Linked DNA regions of Oryzias latipes. The protein of the gene in region 2 binds, or shares a complex with, the protein of the main gene of each other region. Links are inferred from orthologs where the notes say so. Each region holds a gene or a part of one and is shown on either strand. Other genes may lie near its edges.

Region 1 (4,225 bases), on a different chromosome or scaffold from region 2:
CTGCTGAGAAATTCCATGTTTAATATATTTTATATAGTTTTTCACATTTTAAGAGACATGATTCATAATAAAGGTGCTCAATAGTTCTAAAGATACTAAAGCTAATGTCAGCAAACTTTCTGTACTGACTAATCATGACCCTATTGTCCCCCCCGTTCCGTTTTCGTACACAGATCAATTTTGACACAAGTTTCTCACAAGGAATGTGTCAGAAGTCAGAGCGCAGTTGTTGTGCACTTGTGATGTGCGCCAGCAGATTCACATTTGAGCAGTTGTAATCCCAGATTGGAGGTTGTAACTCTAAATGGGAATTTGTCAGTTCTGATTTAGTTTGTCAGACTTTACAGCAGAAGATTTTTACACACAGATGCAGATTTTTGGTGTGCAAGTTCTCACATTGTAAATTACAAGTTCTCACACCAAATCTACAAGCTCGTCTATTTAGACACATTTTTACCTTCATACTAATAACTCACTGGCATTTGAAATCTTGGGGTGCTCAGGTGGATTTGCTCACATACGTAATCTATTCTTTTAAAAACCAAAAAGATCAGAAAATTACAATGCAAGAACTATTGAAATAAAACATCTTGCAATCTCCCTTCTTCATTGCTTAAGCTTTGTAAGAAAATTTGATTTTATTACACAAGTGACTACATATAGAAATCTTGCTGTTGACATCTAACCCTTAAAACAGGTTTAGTATTTAAGAAGTGGCTTTTTATTCAACTCATACTTGATAAAAAAACAAAACAATGCTTCAGAGAATGAAATCATTCAAACCCCACACCCACATCAGGCACAGTACCCAATGTGGAGGAGATGCTATGGACGCCTTTTTAATCTCTTACATTTGTGAGCTTATATTTAGTGTTTTACTTGTATTTGAATTCTTCTGAATGTATTTTATTCTTGATTCTATTAAAGGAATATGTCAAAGAGAGGAGGGAATAATTGAAACATTTTAGAATAAAACCACTGTAAGGCGCCATGTTATTTCAAATCCTGGAAAGAAGAAGAAAAAAAGACTGCAAAAATATGCTTTAGTGAAGCAACACTTTCTAAATCAAGATGCAAGCTCTTCGTGTTTGTTTCCTCTTCATATAAAAGTCCTAAATACACACTTAAACCTCTCTCCGCTACACCAGCAGCCCCCCAATACCTGTCGAATGCTTTGACTCTTCCAAGCAGCTTCTTGTTGTTGCGACAGTTAATGAGGACTTGGGTGTTGTTCTTGACTGACTGGGTGAGCACCGACAGAGGGCCAGTGTTGAACTCCTCCTCTTCTCTTTTCTGGAGCTCTTCAGGCGTCATCTCTGACTTAGGTTTCGTTAGAAGACTCCTGTGGATTAAACAAGTTCTGAATTAGTGATAACAGCAAACAAAATAAGCAACGATGTACTGTTTAAGCATCGACTGCTTGGGCGGCCTATTATTTGGATTTGGGCCTTTTTATTATTATTCTTTTAAATTAAAAAATAAATATAAAGACACAAACGCAACACTTTCGTATTTAATGCACACACAAGCATTAGTTACTGTTAATGCGAATCCAAGAGTTGGCTTCATCTGTGTGCCTCAACAAAATGATCATTTTCTTATAAAGTCAAGTTAGCACAAAAATGTACAATATAGGCAAGACATCTGAAAAGTGGAACCAGCTAAAAAAAGTCTCAGTTCCTGCAAAAGAGCATTTATGAGAGCTGAAGCTGTTGACTGAAAGTGCTCAGTTAATAGAGACATTTGAGAGGCAGAAGGTGCTTAAGCAGGAAAATGGACCACAACCAAATATCTAAATAAAACTAAACATGCAAAACTAGTATTAACCAGAAAACCATTGTACAGGAGACATTACATCAGACGGAATCAAAACTATTGAGGAATTATCTCACACACACAATAAATGCTTTGGTCATTGATAAATTGAATCAGTACATTTTAGTCTCGATATTTCTTTATATTTGTACAATGATCACTACAAATAGGCAGAAGTAAAACCTACTTTAAAAAAAATGGCTGCTCTGGATGATAGAGAAACAATTTACCTAAATAAAGGTCAACAAATACTAGACTTTATAAAAGGATCAAGTTTTAAAACATTAAAGCCTCCCGCCACCCTTAAATGAGCACAGAACATTTATTGTTTCCAGATACATTTGAAGTTTTCAACAATCTCTGAACAGTGTGTGCTTTGAGATCAGCAAAGAGTTTAGGCTCTTTACGCACAAAATATTTAGAACAAAACTTTGGCTTTCACACAAAATGAGTCTATAACCGACGACTTTGATCATATCATCTTGCAGAAGCTTAAACATTTCTACTTTCTAAAGAATGAATGCTGCAATCGCACAACGAGGACATTTACTCATGATGGATAGAGCAAGCTAACAGTCTCATTAGCAATTAGCTAATGAGGCTTAGTACGTCCATCAAGCTTTCGCGCGATGTACAATCACAGAATTTAGCTTTGGACGTAACTTTTTAAACAATTTAATTTGAGAATGCAGTAATTGCAATGTAATCCAATTTAACACATTTCTAAAAACCACCCACTAGGCCACACAAAGCGATCTAGCACCAACTCGAAGGAAAATGCTGCTAGCTTAATAGTGCGATCTCCATATTAGCAGCTAAACGTAAAAAGTAACATTGCCCTCAACATCGAGACACAATAGAAGATACTAACATGATTCCTGGTTTATAAAAACCGTTTAGTAAAGTTCCAAAGCCTCTTTCGTGCGTCGGTCGTGTCTACAACGTTTTAGCCGACAGTCGCGTGCACAGAATCACTTCCGGTGATATTAACGCGCTTAAATAGAATAACTTCCGGGTTACGACGCAAACCAAAAATTCGAAAAATATTCTATTCTTTTTGGCAACAATAGAAAAAAAATCAAACAACGGTCATCAGCTAAAATATTCTATTCTAATCTTGCATCCATCTCTAGTAATTTCGTTACTGAAGCCGAAGTTAAAACTGTTATGAATGCCCCAGCATTCATGCAGCAATTTAACAAACGACATTATAGAACATGTTTAAATAAATACACGAAAAAGATTAATTAAATACAATTTGATACATTTAAATTCAGCATTGCTTTTATCCAGTTATTTTGCATTTGCAGGATATCAAAGTCCAGGTTGACAGTATCAAGAAATAATATAAAATAAAAGAGACGTTGCTTAGTCTGTGACCTTTGCCTGGTAAACAACAACAACATTATTAACAACAACAACAATTAAAATATTGGAAATAACAACAACAACAATAATAGTAATAATATTAATAACAACAAAAACAATAATAATAATAATAACCTTTCCTTTTTTTCATATGTGCCACGTTCCAAATCACAGATTGCCTTATCTATTATTGTAGGTGCTAAACAAATGATGCAGCATTGTTCATTTGTATTTTTAGCAGTATTTTTAAACTCATTTATTTGAAAAATATAATTCAATATCAAGAAACTATAAACATGGCCTTTTGTAACTGCATTTTGCAAATCAAACAATACAAAAAAACTTTAATAGTAAAAGTTTTAGGCTCCAGGTTTATTGCTGTCATGTCTTGCATACATGGGCAGCCGTGGTAGGGTGGTCACCCTCTGATCGTTAGATTGCAGGTTCGATACCCGCCCTACCGTTGAAGTGTCCTTGGGAAAGACGCTGAACTGAACACCACCTTGCTTCTGGTGGAAGGTTGGTGCCAGTGTTCAGCAACCAGGAAACCAGTATGTGAATCTGTGTATGAATAGGTGACTGATTTTGGCCTTCAAGGAAGGTAGAAAGCGCAGTACAATTATACGCCATTTACCATTTATAATACAATTATAAAAAGTTATAAGATGCATTATAGTGTCATTTAGAAACTCTCACAACTGAGTTCTATGAGATCTACAGCAGGTGTATTTATCTAATGTTAGTCTAATATAAGTTTTGTTTTGAAGAGATGTCTTAAAGAGTCTGAGCCGTTGACAAAAATGTTGTAGCACTTCTTTCAGATGGTAAAATCCACAATTCCTTTTTGGCCAACATCCAAAGGAGATCTTGTGACTTATGAAATAAGGAAACCAATTCCAAACACAAACAATCCCTTTGGGCTTTTTTTCAAGTTTGTTGAGTAAACCGTTAAAACTACAAATAGTTGTAGGACCACAACTCAAGTTTTTTAGTAGACTTTTTCTAACAACTAAAATGTTGATTAAAGGATTCTGATAACATA
Region 2 (4,173 bases):
TCCAAACGTGCTTCCTAGTTGCTGACAAGCTTCAACCATCTTGATTAAAGTTTTAACTATGCTTTTTTGTTTTGGTTTTATAATCAGTAATAAAAAAAATCACACTTAAGGCAGATCAGGTTCTGTTGAAAAAAATAAAGCAAAAAAAAAAAAAAAATCAGACTTTAAATTAAATAACCAAAAAACACATATCCATGCTATACCCTAAAATAAAAATGTTTTAGGGGCCATACCTTACGACAGTAACAGTGAATGTAAAGAATCTGGAGATATTTTATTTTGTAAGTCTAACCTGCTGGATCGACAAGCTGCTCCTGCCTGATCTCCTTCAGCTGAAGGATCTTCTCCAGAGCCTGTGGGATCTTGGGCCCGCCAACACTAATCTCTTCATTCTGCCAGATCTGCAGGAAGAAAGGAATTGCAGTTTAACACTAAACCAGCAGGTTGTCGCATTTTAATCAAAAAAGTTCAAAGAGTTTAAAAAAACTTCAAAAGAATCTAACTTTGCTTAAATCACACCAGAATTAGTGTTAACCTATGTCTAAAACAAAAATTAGAGAAGTGCAGGAAAAACGTACGTCTCTGTTATCTTCTCCTGGAGGGGGTGGCACCTTTTGTTTATGAGATGGCAACAAGGTGACACCAGGAGGTAAAGGCCCGTGAGGATCCAAAACTGAAACTTTGGTTTTGTGAAAAAAACAAATTTGTGATTGATAATGTAAAAATATACTATTAAATGCTGGTTTAACGTCAGCTTGCAACACTGTAGGAAGCAGAGACGTCTTCCCTTGACAAACATTTTGTGACATTGATCTTGAATGGAATCACTTGTAAAAGGTTTTAGGATATTCCACAAACCTCTTACTGCAGAGACAGCTGGCTGCATCTTTGCCATTTCATGATGTCGTTCTTGTTCCAGCAGCACGGCAGCCTAAGGAAGAAATGAATGAGAGATGCAAGCAATATAAAATCACAATAAGAAACAAAGAAAATAAATGTCTTCCTTATTTTAATTGACAGCTGAACAAAATGTGTTGTTTGCAATTCCTTACCCGTTGCTGCTGCTCCAGAAGTTCATTTTCGTCCCCCTGTTTTAGCCAAACAAAAAAAGGCCAATGTTTAGCAAATGTGACTGTTTAGGTGTTTTCTGTTAAAGGTCTCTAGTAAAAAATGTTGGCTTTACCCAAATACATTGAAAAATTGTATCTATGATCGTTGTTTTTACCTAATTTACTTTGTAAAACTTACAATGTTTAAATACAGTCCAGTAATTTTGTTTTGCCGAGTACTACAATATTAGCGATTAATGTGTCAAATGCAGCAGTTGGCCAGTTCTGCCATCCCACCTGATGCTTGGCCCTTTCTTCCTGTTGTAACACAATGGCAGCTCTCTGCTGAACCATTTTAAGCTGATCGTCCTGTGTGAGACCAGGAGGTGGCATGTTTGGATGATCCATTGTCATGTGCATGCCAGAGGGAGGAGCTCCAGGGGGTATCATGTTCATTGCTGGGATCATTCCCATCCCTGGGGGCATAGGTGGCATGGGCATCGGGGGCATGGGAGGAATGCTCGGCACCTGAAAAAAAGAAATGAAAATATTGTGAAAAGAGCAATAGATAGGAGGCTGACTGATATGAAATTAATCTTTTTTATTTTTATTTTGGGCCATTTATTTTTGCTTTTCCACCTGACACATTAAAAATTAGCTAAACATCACATGTCTACAGTCTGATTTATAAATTCAGAAGTTGAACAATGCAGATAAGTTAAAAACAGTCAAAACTAAGTCCACTCAATAGCCTTCATTAGCCAACCAATTATTCTTTGTTAGGCTACTAATGAAATGATTTCCCTTAGTTGTTTGTTGCCATATTAACTTGAGATTTTTGCAATTGAACTATTATCCCTATACAGCATACTAAAACATTTTACAAAATTAAACATACATAAATCCAGATAGACATCGTAAAATTTAAAAAACGTTCCACACCGTTTTAATGGCTCAATGTGAAGGGCTACAAGAGAGATTACCCAAACTATTGGTATAAAACCCTCAAAAACATTTTATTATTATCCATTTGAATAATAGTTTTTAAAATCAACAAGAAAAAAAATGAATTAAGAATGGGAAGTTGCATTTGTGTGGGTGTGATGTTGATTTCGAGGATGAGCTTACCTGCATCATGTAGCCCTTCAGTCTGTCAATGAGTTCCTCTCTAGAGCCTAAATTAAGAGAAGCACGACCATTGTATTTTATTTTAATAATAATTCATCGGTTTGGAGTTATTTATTAACGTAATCAGAGTACCATATGACGTAAAATACCAATTATTGATCACATTATTAGCAAATCCTAAGCAGTTCACAACAATGGAACTGTCGATCATCATCATCAGCAAAAACTTAGCTAGTTTTTGTAAGAAATCATCAAAAGCAATCAATTGTTACGTTTGGTATTCCAACTGTAAAATATTAGACAAAAACGGCTTTTAAAATATGCATATGAAAATACTAAACGGAGTCAAACCATTCTGCGGGCCTGTTGTTGGAGCGCTTTATGACGGAGGTTCAACGACTATGTGCTCCAAGCTAATGCTAGCCGTAAGCTAGCTTCAAAACAACGCGCTTTGATTTTTGCACTATATGGGAGCTTTTCTTACCCATTGTTGGAGCTCCTAGCTCCACCAGCTTCCCCTGAAGCTCTGGGACGCTCCATGTGTTTAATGCTGCGATTACACTACCTAAATCATTCGGGTCCGTGCCCGGCGGTCCGTCAGAAGCCATGTTGAGCAGTCGATCAACGGCGGTGGAAAAAAGAGATAAACTCGCGAGAGACAGAAACGAGAACAAGAAAAAAAAGCAAGGCATTATGGGAGAAACGCAATGGTCTTAGGGATATGAAGTTGTAAATTTTCCTTTAATTTTCCTACGGACGTCTCTGGGTGTCAGTGTTGGCCCGTTAACTGGTTGAAATATGATTTTTGAAAACGTTTTTTTTGTAAACAAATTGATATATTTGTGTAAATAATGTAAAAACGTTGTCCCATTGCTGCTACTACTACTGCTACTACAATGAATGACAACAACAACTACTAATATACTACTACTAAAGACATTGAAGTATATTCGCATTTTCTTTGTACTAGAACAAAATCAAATCCATGACAGGGCAGGGCTCAAATACGTGATGCTGTATAATTTGTTAAATTGATTTTGGGTTGTTAAGAATTGAAATTAACAGAAGTTACAAGTATAAAGGTAAATATGTGCCACAACTTTTTGTAATGTGAGCTAGTTTTCTGTATATATAGCAGGGGTGTCCAACTCATTTTCACCGAGGGCCACATCAGCATAGTGGTTCTCCTCAAAGGTAACTAAATATAATGAAAAATAAACGTAATTATTCCTTAATGTTAAATAACTCATTTATTTATTATAACTTGTTAAAGTGACACAGTTGCACAGAAAACATGTTTGCTTGTTACTCTAGCATAAATCCTTTTAAATTTTATTCTGTCAGGTTAGGTTATATTGACAGTGTTTAAGTCCTAATGTACAGTTGCCCAATCCGATATTTCTACTCCAATTCCCCTTAGATATGAATACACACCAAGTATTGTATTTGGCTCGCGGGCCTTAAGTTTGACAAGTGATATAGAGGTTGTGTGATTGCAGATGAGAGACAGGTGAGTAATAAACGGAAGCAGCTTGGGAACATTCTGGTTTGAGGACAAGGGCTGATGGGAATTGTACTATTGAAACCAAGAAGTGGTCAGTGTTTAGGTGATTGTTCCCACTAATGGGAGATTATTATAGTCCATTATTCCAGTCCAATGCATCGCTGTAAACCCTAATGAGTTGACTGAACTTAAAAATTATTGTGTAACAGATTACGCAATAGTTTTTAAGTTATATTATTAAAACTTTTAAGTTAACATTAATTAAAATTTATATTGTCAGTTGGCTTAAATTTGTATTATTTCATATTAAAAATATTAAGATTCCTCAACTTATAAAAGAGAGATTATTTACTCAAAGTTTTTAATATTTTCCAACTAAAAAAAACACTTCAACTAACTATATTTTTTATAATATTACTCAACTCATAAAATATGTAAAATTCACTCAAATGTTTTATAAATTTTTTAACTCATTTAATGTGTAGCATTGAA

The links.
Region 1: sf3b2 (region 2) and snrpd2 share a complex: the UniProt entries of both Homo sapiens proteins name them as parts of the minor spliceosome. The link is inferred for Oryzias latipes from reciprocal best matches to the Homo sapiens genes SF3B2 and SNRPD2.

The regions. Positions count from the first base shown.
Region 1 is NC_019871.2:25,537,834-25,542,058, forward strand, and holds the start of snrpd2 (small nuclear ribonucleoprotein Sm D2), read right to left. Parts: upstream 2,818-4,225; 5' UTR 2,689-2,817; coding exon 2,687-2,688; intron 1,343-2,686; coding exon 1,163-1,342; intron 1-1,162. UniProt on the Homo sapiens protein: Plays a role in pre-mRNA splicing as a core component of the spliceosomal U1, U2, U4 and U5 small nuclear ribonucleoproteins (snRNPs), the building blocks of the spliceosome.
Region 2 is NC_019876.2:19,504,024-19,508,196, forward strand, and holds the start of sf3b2 (splicing factor 3B subunit 2), read right to left. Parts: upstream 2,866-4,173; 5' UTR 2,786-2,865; coding exon 2,662-2,785; intron 2,225-2,661; coding exon 2,178-2,224; intron 1,578-2,177; coding exon 1,347-1,577; intron 1,089-1,346; coding exon 1,053-1,088; intron 932-1,052; coding exon 859-931; intron 680-858; coding exon 579-679; intron 402-578; coding exon 293-401; intron 1-292. UniProt on the Homo sapiens protein: Component of the 17S U2 SnRNP complex of the spliceosome, a large ribonucleoprotein complex that removes introns from transcribed pre-mRNAs.